Mus musculus: one gene and its partner. The protein of the gene in region 1 binds, or shares a complex with, the protein of each later gene. Links are inferred from orthologs where the notes say so. Each region holds a gene or a part of one and is shown on either strand. Other genes may lie near its edges. The genes, in order: Atp2a1 and Sln.

The links.
Region 2: the proteins of Atp2a1 (region 1) and Sln are in contact, whole or in part, in a crystal structure (PDB 3W5A), measured with the Oryctolagus cuniculus proteins. The link is inferred for Mus musculus from reciprocal best matches to the Homo sapiens genes ATP2A1 and SLN. Residues at the interface, in XP_069919846.1 of Oryctolagus cuniculus: Phe88, Val89, Leu96, Ala100, Ile103, Val104, Trp107, Arg110, Asn111, Asn114, Arg324, Lys328, Trp794, Leu797, Gly801, Leu802, Thr805, Ala806, Phe809, Trp932, Ser936, Leu939, Leu943, Leu946, Ile947, Val950, Pro952, Leu953, Ile956; in NP_001075856.1 of Oryctolagus cuniculus: Met1, Glu2, Arg3, Ser4, Thr5, Arg6, Glu7, Leu8, Leu10, Asn11, Phe12, Val14, Val15, Thr18, Val19, Leu21, Ile22, Trp23, Leu25, Val26, Tyr29.

Annotation. Positions count from the first base shown.
Region 1 is NC_000073.6:126,445,856-126,449,664, reverse strand, and holds the end of Atp2a1 (sarcoplasmic/endoplasmic reticulum calcium ATPase 1), read left to right. Parts: intron 1-792; coding exon 793-1,128; intron 1,129-1,282; coding exon 1,283-1,503; intron 1,504-1,601; coding exon 1,602-1,804; intron 1,805-1,977; coding exon 1,978-2,063; intron 2,064-2,148; coding exon 2,149-2,282; intron 2,283-2,410; coding exon 2,411-2,528; intron 2,529-2,676; coding exon 2,677-2,794; intron 2,795-3,078; coding exon 3,079-3,083; 3' UTR 3,084-3,120; intron 3,121-3,538; coding exon of another isoform or gene 3,539-3,564; 3' UTR 3,565-3,805; downstream 3,806-3,809. UniProt on the Homo sapiens protein: Key regulator of striated muscle performance by acting as the major Ca(2+) ATPase responsible for the reuptake of cytosolic Ca(2+) into the sarcoplasmic reticulum.
Region 2 is NC_000075.6:53,848,637-53,853,119, reverse strand, and holds the start of Sln (sarcolipin), read right to left. Parts: upstream 2,870-4,483; 5' UTR 2,794-2,869; intron 1-2,793. UniProt on the Homo sapiens protein: Reversibly inhibits the activity of ATP2A1/SERCA1 and ATP2A2/SERCA2 in sarcoplasmic reticulum by decreasing the apparent affinity of the ATPase for Ca(2+). Also inhibits the activity of ATP2A3/SERCA3.

The DNA of each region.
Region 1 (3,809 bases):
TGCACTTCTTGCTGTGGACTCTGAATAACCCCCAAAGCTCACTGCCTGCATTTATAGGAGATTATGGCCTGCCAGGTAACAGGGTGTGCTCAGAGTGACTGGCCAACAAGGGCTCTGCTAGGAGACACAAGCCACTGTGTTAATATGTAGCTTTTCTTTTTCTATTTTTTCTTTGTTTTGGTTTTTGCTGTGGTTGTTTTTCAGATAGAGTTTTGTAATGTAGCCAGGGCTGGCCCTGATCGTGAATTCATGATGCAGCCAGGGCTGGCCCTCCCTGGTCAGGAATTCATGAATTCCTCTTGACCTCCTGGGTGCTGGAACCTCAGGTGTACCCACCACACCCAGATCCAGCTCTCCTTTTTTAAATCAGTCAGTCAGTCAGTCAGTCAGTCTGTTTTTTTTTTTTTTTTTTTTTTTTTGAGATAGGGTTTCTCTGTATAACAGCTCTGGCTGTCCAGAAACTCACTTTGTAGATCAGGCTGGCCTCGGATTCACAGAGATCTACCTGCCTATGCCTCCCAAGTGCTGGGATCAGAGGTGTGTGCCATCACTTTCTGACTCGGCAGGCTTTTTGCAGCAGGCCTTGGCACTGCCAGTCTATGCAGGGCAGGCATTATAAGGATTGCAGGAATTATGTTTTCTGGCCCTGTGCTTCCAAGGTCCTACTGATGTCCAACACCAGGTACCAAGGCAGCAGGCCCCAGCGTCACCAACAGTACTGCCCATCTTCCTCTGAACTTCCTCCTGTCTGTCCCAAATTCCTCCCTGACCAACATGTCACCATCTTTCCAGATGGACCTGACGTTTGTTGGTGTTGTGGGCATGTTGGATCCACCCCGCAAGGAGGTCACAGGCTCTATCCAGCTGTGTCGTGATGCTGGGATCCGAGTGATCATGATCACTGGGGACAACAAGGGTACAGCCATTGCCATCTGCCGACGAATTGGCATCTTTTCGGAGAATGAGGAAGTGACAGACCGTGCCTACACTGGCCGTGAGTTTGACGATCTGCCCCTGGCCGAGCAGCGGGAGGCCTGCAGACGCGCCTGCTGCTTTGCTCGTGTGGAGCCCTCACACAAGTCCAAGATTGTGGAGTACCTGCAGTCCTACGATGAGATCACAGCCATGGTGAGAAGTCGCAGAGGGCTGCCCGGGTCAAGGCTCTGAGTGTCCCCACGCATGCTGGGTGTGTGTGTGGGGGGAGACTCTGCATGGAGTCTGAGGAGGGGAAATAGAAGGCATCTGGAACCTGGAGTTTCTCACTCTCTCCTTCCGTCTTCAGACAGGGGATGGTGTCAATGATGCCCCTGCTCTGAAGAAGGCCGAGATTGGCATTGCCATGGGATCTGGTACTGCTGTGGCTAAGACGGCCTCTGAAATGGTACTGGCCGATGATAACTTCTCCACCATCGTGGCTGCCGTGGAGGAAGGCCGCGCCATCTACAACAACATGAAGCAGTTCATCCGCTACCTCATCTCCTCCAATGTGGGCGAGGTGGTCTGGTGAGCAGCCAGAAGAAAAAAAAACCAACAACCCAGGGCTGAGGGGGTTGATCATGGGACTTGAAACAAATGAATGCATGACTTTCTTCCTCTGCCAGTATCTTCTTGACAGCAGCCTTGGGGCTGCCTGAGGCTCTGATCCCTGTGCAGCTGCTCTGGGTGAACTTGGTGACTGATGGGCTCCCGGCTACTGCCCTGGGATTCAACCCACCTGACCTGGACATCATGGACCGCCCCCCCAGGAGTCCCAAGGAGCCTCTTATCAGTGGCTGGCTCTTTTTCCGCTACATGGCAATTGGGGGTAAGCAAGAAGGGACTCAACCACCTTTCCCAGCCTTTGGGACCAACCTCGTCCCTGATACCAGCTTTTCCCAATTCAAGCTGCCCAAAGCCAGCTGTCTCCAGCTGTGTGAGGTCTTCCTGATACTTAACTCATCAGCCCTGACCCCAGCTCCTCTCTTCTCCCCACCACAGGCTATGTGGGTGCAGCCACTGTAGGAGCAGCTGCCTGGTGGTTTTTGTATGCAGAGGACGGGCCTCATGTCAGCTACCATCAGCTGGTAGGAAGGAGGCTGGGGAGGTGGGCCCTGAGAGGGTGTGCCGAAGGCTTCTGTGGAGCTCAGGCTTCTGTCTCTTCCTTCATAGACTCATTTCATGCAGTGCACTGAGCACAACCCTGAATTCGATGGCCTGGACTGTGAGGTCTTTGAGGCCCCCGAGCCCATGACCATGGCCTTGTCTGTGTTGGTGACCATCGAGATGTGCAATGCTCTCAACAGGTAGGCCTTGTCCACTTGGGTGGGCCCTGTGCCTTCATGTTCTCCCCGCCTCTCTTCTCCCTCCACTCTGCCTTACCACATCTTTCTCTGTATCCCTGTCTCTCCATCTGCCTGGCCTTTTGTTCTAGCCTGTCTGAGAACCAGTCCCTACTGCGGATGCCACCCTGGGTGAACATCTGGCTGCTGGGTTCCATCTGCCTGTCCATGTCCCTCCACTTCCTCATCCTCTATGTCGACCCCCTGCCGGTGAGCTGTCACCTCTCTGCCCCGGGGGAGCCCATGCAGAGCATGTGTCCACAGGGTGCTCACAGGGCGTGGTATTTTATGCCACCCTGGCCCCCTTTCCTTCTGAGGAAGCACTTGTCATTCCTGATGCCTGCTGTCCTCTTCCCAGATGATCTTCAAGCTCCGGGCCCTGGACTTTACCCAGTGGCTCATGGTCCTCAAGATCTCACTGCCAGTCATCGGGCTGGATGAGCTTCTCAAGTTCATTGCTCGGAACTATCTGGAGGGTAAGGGACATCCCTTTTTCCTTGTACCCAGTCCTGAGCAGAGCCCCTGCCCTCTGCGCTGCGAACACGCGCCATAAGTCATCTATCCCCCTCTTCCTTTGTAGGTAGGTAGGTAAGTTCTTTTTAGCCCTGGTGGGACCAGTGTCCCCCAGGGAGGGCAACCCAAGCCCTGTCCCCACTCCAGCTATGACTGGTGGGATTTTCTCCCAACCTGCTCAGCCCCCTGGCTCCGAGGGCCTCCTTCCCTCTTGATAACGGCCTCTCTCTGTCCTCTCTGGCCATAGGATAACCACCCCCCTCCTCCATGTCTTTGAACCGTGTCACAGGTATTTCCCTACCCGCCCTGCCCCAGCTGCTGTACCCTGCCGCTCGCCCACCACCAGCCCATGCGCACCCCTGCGGTCACTTGCGCGCGCTCGCAGCTCTCCCTGGAGCCACTGCTGCTGTTGCCACTGCCCGCTTCCACATGAGGGCCATGCCGTTACTGTGGGCACTGGCAGCTGTGAGGCTGTGTCCTGGCCGTCCAGTCTGCTGGGCTGGGATGCGCTGCGCTGCGTCGCGCTGGCTGTCTCTGCTGCTGGGGCTGCGGTGGTGGCTGGGGGGCGGGTTGGGGTCTGGCACATCACAGGTGAGTAGGGAAAGGGGCCCTTAGGCCCCTCCAGGTGAGTGTGCAGGAGATGCGCAAGGAGATACAGCTCTCCCTCCTGTGCCCGCCTGCTCCATCCCCTGCCTTTCTTCTTCCAGATCCAGAAGACGAAAGAAGGAAGTAACCAGCCCTTGTGCCCTGTGTTCCCCACCCCAATAGCCATGCATCTTCAGCCAAAGCTGAGGCACTGACCCTTCTTCCCCCTCAATTCTGTTTATAAATAAAGTCCTCCACCCTCGTCCCCTTCAGCAACCCGCTCTCCCTCCGAACCTTGTAAATCCCCTTCCCGAACTCACGGGGCTTGCAGGCACAAGGCAACTGACTAGCTGATTGCTTATTTATTGAAAATAAATGACAGAAAAGTCTGGC
Region 2 (4,483 bases), on another chromosome or scaffold:
GGTTTGAATAGGTATGGCCCCCAGAGATTCATGTGTTTGAATGCTTGACCCATAGGGAATGACACTATTAGAAAGTATGGTCTTGTTACAAAAGGTTTGGTCTTAATAGAAGAAATGTGTCACTGTGGGGTTGGGATTTAAGGTCTCCTATGCTCAAACTATACCCAGTATGATACTGTCTCTCCTTGCTGCCTGTGGGTCGAGATGTAGAACTTTCAGCTCCCTCTCCAGCACCTTTCTACCTGCATGCTCCCATGTTTCCTGTCATGGGGATAATGAGCTAAACCTCTGGGACTGTAAGCCAGCTTCCATGAAGTGTTTTGTTTTATAAGAGAAACTAGGCTGCTTGTGTTTGCCCATACTCTTCAGAGAAACAGCTCTCTCTTCCTGCTATCATCCCAAGGCCAATATTTTTATCCTGTATTAATTGCATTGTTTTGCGTAAGAAATAAAATATTGCATTTTTCTCTCTTCATCTTCTGCACTTTTAGGTATACTTGTTAACTATGCTATTTGGAATATCTGCAATCAGGGACACCAAAACAGAAACAAACTTTATAGTTTAAGTATTGCTCTCTCTTTGGATCACATTTAGGAGTAGGATAACATCATCTTTCAGATTTAAAGCTGCCTTAGGTCTTCATCCAACCCTGCTGAAAGCATAAAGCAGCTCCAACAGCTGCATGGCTTCGTACAAGCCTCCACTGGCACAAAGCCCGCAGAGGTCAACCAGAAGTCCCTCGCACAACAGGTACTCAGTCCAAAGAACAAGTGTTAACCTCATGAGCATTTCTGTCTCAACAAGGGCTTGTGCCAGCTATTTTTAGTCAAGCTCAGGATGTGCCTAGATTGTAAACATTTCAGACAGCAGAGAGGGCATCTTCACTGTGCATACGGATTGTACATGCAGGAAAGTATCCTCCAAGAGTGCAGGCAATGCTGTCAATCAGGTTACTAATTTTGGTAAAGTTGACGCTTGGTTTATACAATCAAATTAAAATTTAAATCTTCTATGTTTTAAATGATTTAAGTGGATACTATTATTGTAGAACAAGATTGTAGCATGGAAGAAAATTTTGTTGGAAAGAATACTGGTTTGCAAAAGGTCAAAGTTCAAAGGATCAAAACTTTGTAGCAACTTTTGGCCTGACTGAATTAACTGTACCTGTTGTATTTGTTTGGTCATCAATGGACCAAATTATTAATTGCATAGATACCAGTGGAATAATCAGCTTTTATTGTGTAATTGTTAGTATAATATACAGGTTCTTACCAGATTGTGCTAATGAACACATTATAGAATCTCATTTTAAAATATAGCCAATGATGATGGAATTATGGTTCCTTCCCTTTTTATTCTTAATTTTTATTACATTCATTTATGTATGCAGCTGGTGCAGGAGACACACGTGTGTCACAGTGCACATTCAGGGATCAGAGAACAAGTTTCAGGAGTTAGTTCTCTCTTTCCTCCCAAGGCACCCAGAGATAGAACTCGGGTTATCAAGCTTGGCAGCAAGTGCAATCTTGCTAACCCCTTCCCTTTTAATTATCTCTCTTTCAGCCCTTAGCATGATGTACATTGTCAATTGCCAGTGAAAACCTTTACAAAAAACCAGCTGTCTGAGAGAGAGAATAAGCAGAAGAAAATTAGTGGGTAGCAGAAGAGAACAGAATGTTCATGAGTGTTCAGAGAGAGGAGGAAGGCTTGTTAAATGAAATGCTTACAGCAAAGGCATCCTGAATATGGACCCTCAAGACCACATATTGGAAAGCTCTGGCCACCAACAGTAGAATGGGTGCAATTGTGGCATTCACATTCATTTGAATGCCGTGGAGTGAAGAAAATATATGACCTCTAGCTACAGAGCAAGATGAAAGGATCTCACACCATACCTGTGGGATGAAAGGAGGATTTGCAGGAGGAGCTGAGAATGTGACTCCATTTACACAGAGGCAAGCACCAGGAACACAACTAAGGGTGGTAAATGTTCAAAACAAGGAAGGACAGTCAAGCTCCACACTTGGGGGCAGAAGGCAGGAGGGAAATGATTTGGAATGGACTTCTGGGGTACCGCCAACGATCTGTTTCTTGGTAAATGATAGTTATCTGGTGTTTCTTAAAATTCATGTTTCAGCTGCCTGCATCTTTTGCACTCTTCCATTTTTCCAGCCTCTCTGGCTACAGGCTGAGCACCAAACGTCTCTTTCCTCTGGCTTAACCTTTGCTCTTTCTTGTACTTTTGATGAAAACCTTAATTATTTGTTGTTTTGTATATTTTTAAATGAATAGAGCTCCAATTTGATGAGTTCCCTGTGGGTGCAGTTCTGTCAAGGTATATGGCAATTCAGTCTGGGATCTTACTTTCACACACATCCACACCCTTTGGGAAGAATGAGCAGAGTTAAGTGGCTATTCAATCACCCATGTTCTATGTCTCTGCTATGAGCCCACACACGAGCTGTGGCTTCCTCTTTTGCCTTCTCTATGAGCCAAAATGGTTGTCCTGTGCATGAACCAAAGCCTTACAAACCAGCAACAAACTGTGCAAGAAATTTGACATTGGTTTTCTTCTCAGATGTGGAAAAATTATATAAAACTAGAAAAATAGAAAATACATATCAAAGAAAAACAGGAATCAATATTCAGTTTGCAGCTTAGGAAATGCCCTATATTGTGATTACCTGTTCCACTGAGAAATATAAGCATTAGTTAACATTTTAATTTGAAAACTGCACACAGAGAGAGACAGAGACAGGAATAGATTGCTAAGTACGAAGTCTTGCTGTTACCTGAAGAGGAGCAGGGGCACACTCAGGCTACCAAGGACCTCAGTCTCTCCACCTCCAGCTGTCTCCCCGGCTGTCTGAGCTCCTGGACTCTGGGCAGGGCCTAATGTAGTCTGAGGGAAGTGACAATCACTGTGATGTCACTGGTGAGACATCTCAAAGGGACAAGCTCCAAAGGTTTCCAGCCAATTTGTACTGGGGGGGGGGGGCATAGAAATATGGTAGCAAGGGCTCTGCTCCTTTGGCTGCCAATTTAAATGAACAACACAGGGATATGAAAGCTCTTGTTTCCGGCCTACTTTTGATGTAGTGGTGTGGGATTTTAAATCCATCTTTTACCTCTTTATAAATGTCTCAATCATATGTTCAGAACATCATAAAGCAAGAGTAATAGACCAGTTTTAACAAATAGCTATCTTCACTACTCGACATGTGAAGCTATGAAAATGTGATTTCACGTCATCACCCCTATCACTAGCTGTTTGCAATGTGGAGAATTCTCTGCCTTGTTCCCACATTCCCACACCGAGCTCCAGAACCCCTTAAGTCTCCCTCAAAACTGACTTTTGTCCTAGCCATAGAAGTTATCCCCTTCCCAACCCCATCTCCTGCTTCACATCAAAGCAATGCCCAGCAAGTTCACGCGTTCAGCTGATTTCTCCTGAAACAGCCATGGGAGCCAGAGCTTGTATCCTTGTCAGTTAAACTAGCATAGCAGTAAAACAGACTGCAAAAACCCAGTCATTTGGCTAAATGGGGCTTAGAAGTTAACCTGGTCGAAACGAGTAGGAATGTGAGTTCTAGACTAGATAGAAATATCTAGGATATATCATTTTTATTTCCTTTGTGTTGTATTTTATGAATATGAATATTTTGCCTGCATGAAAGTGTATAACTGTGTGCATCACATGTGTGTACAGAAGCCTGGGAGGTTGGAGGCGTGCATTGTCCAGTCCCAGACAATTGTAAGCCACTGTGTGGGTACTAGGATTCGAACCCTAGACCAATGATGGAACACCTAGTGCTCTTAACAACTGAGTCATCTCACCAGCCCGTAGAATATATCTTAAAGGAATGAAATGGCACCATTTTCAACAACAAACACTGGCTCAAATCAGACAAGGACGAGTTTGTAACAAATCAGATTTGAGGAAGTAAGTGAAGTCTCTACCATGTTTAAGTGGATTTGAAAGCCATCAACCAAGGAATCTAAATATGACCCCAGTAACTGTACTGCTCAGTAAATCTTGTCTTTAAGAACAGTAGATTAAATCTCCCCTGACAGTCCCCACTTAGGGTCCATAAAAATAGGTCATGCCCAGAGGCAGGGGCAAACACAACTCTCTGCATGCTTGTATCCACGGTCAAGCCTTTCTCGCCATCCCTACCGCCCCAGAGGCGCCAACAAAAGGAGGATTTTCCATTCCATCTCTTTATTTCAACATGAGCCCTTCGAAGGGTGGTCTAATTACAACATTCTGTCACCACTTGTCTTGTAAAACGATAGCTTGCTGAAGTGACAGATAGAGAATATTAATTATAGCACAATCGAACGTTGGCTGTTATCTGTTGCCATCTGGCAAACCCTGTAACCGTAGTCAGATTTCTGTCTTCTGCCTCCCTCCAAGCTTTTGCCAGCTTGCTTCAAATGCTTGGGAATGTTTTCCTAGTCACCAAGCCACAGCTGTCCTTT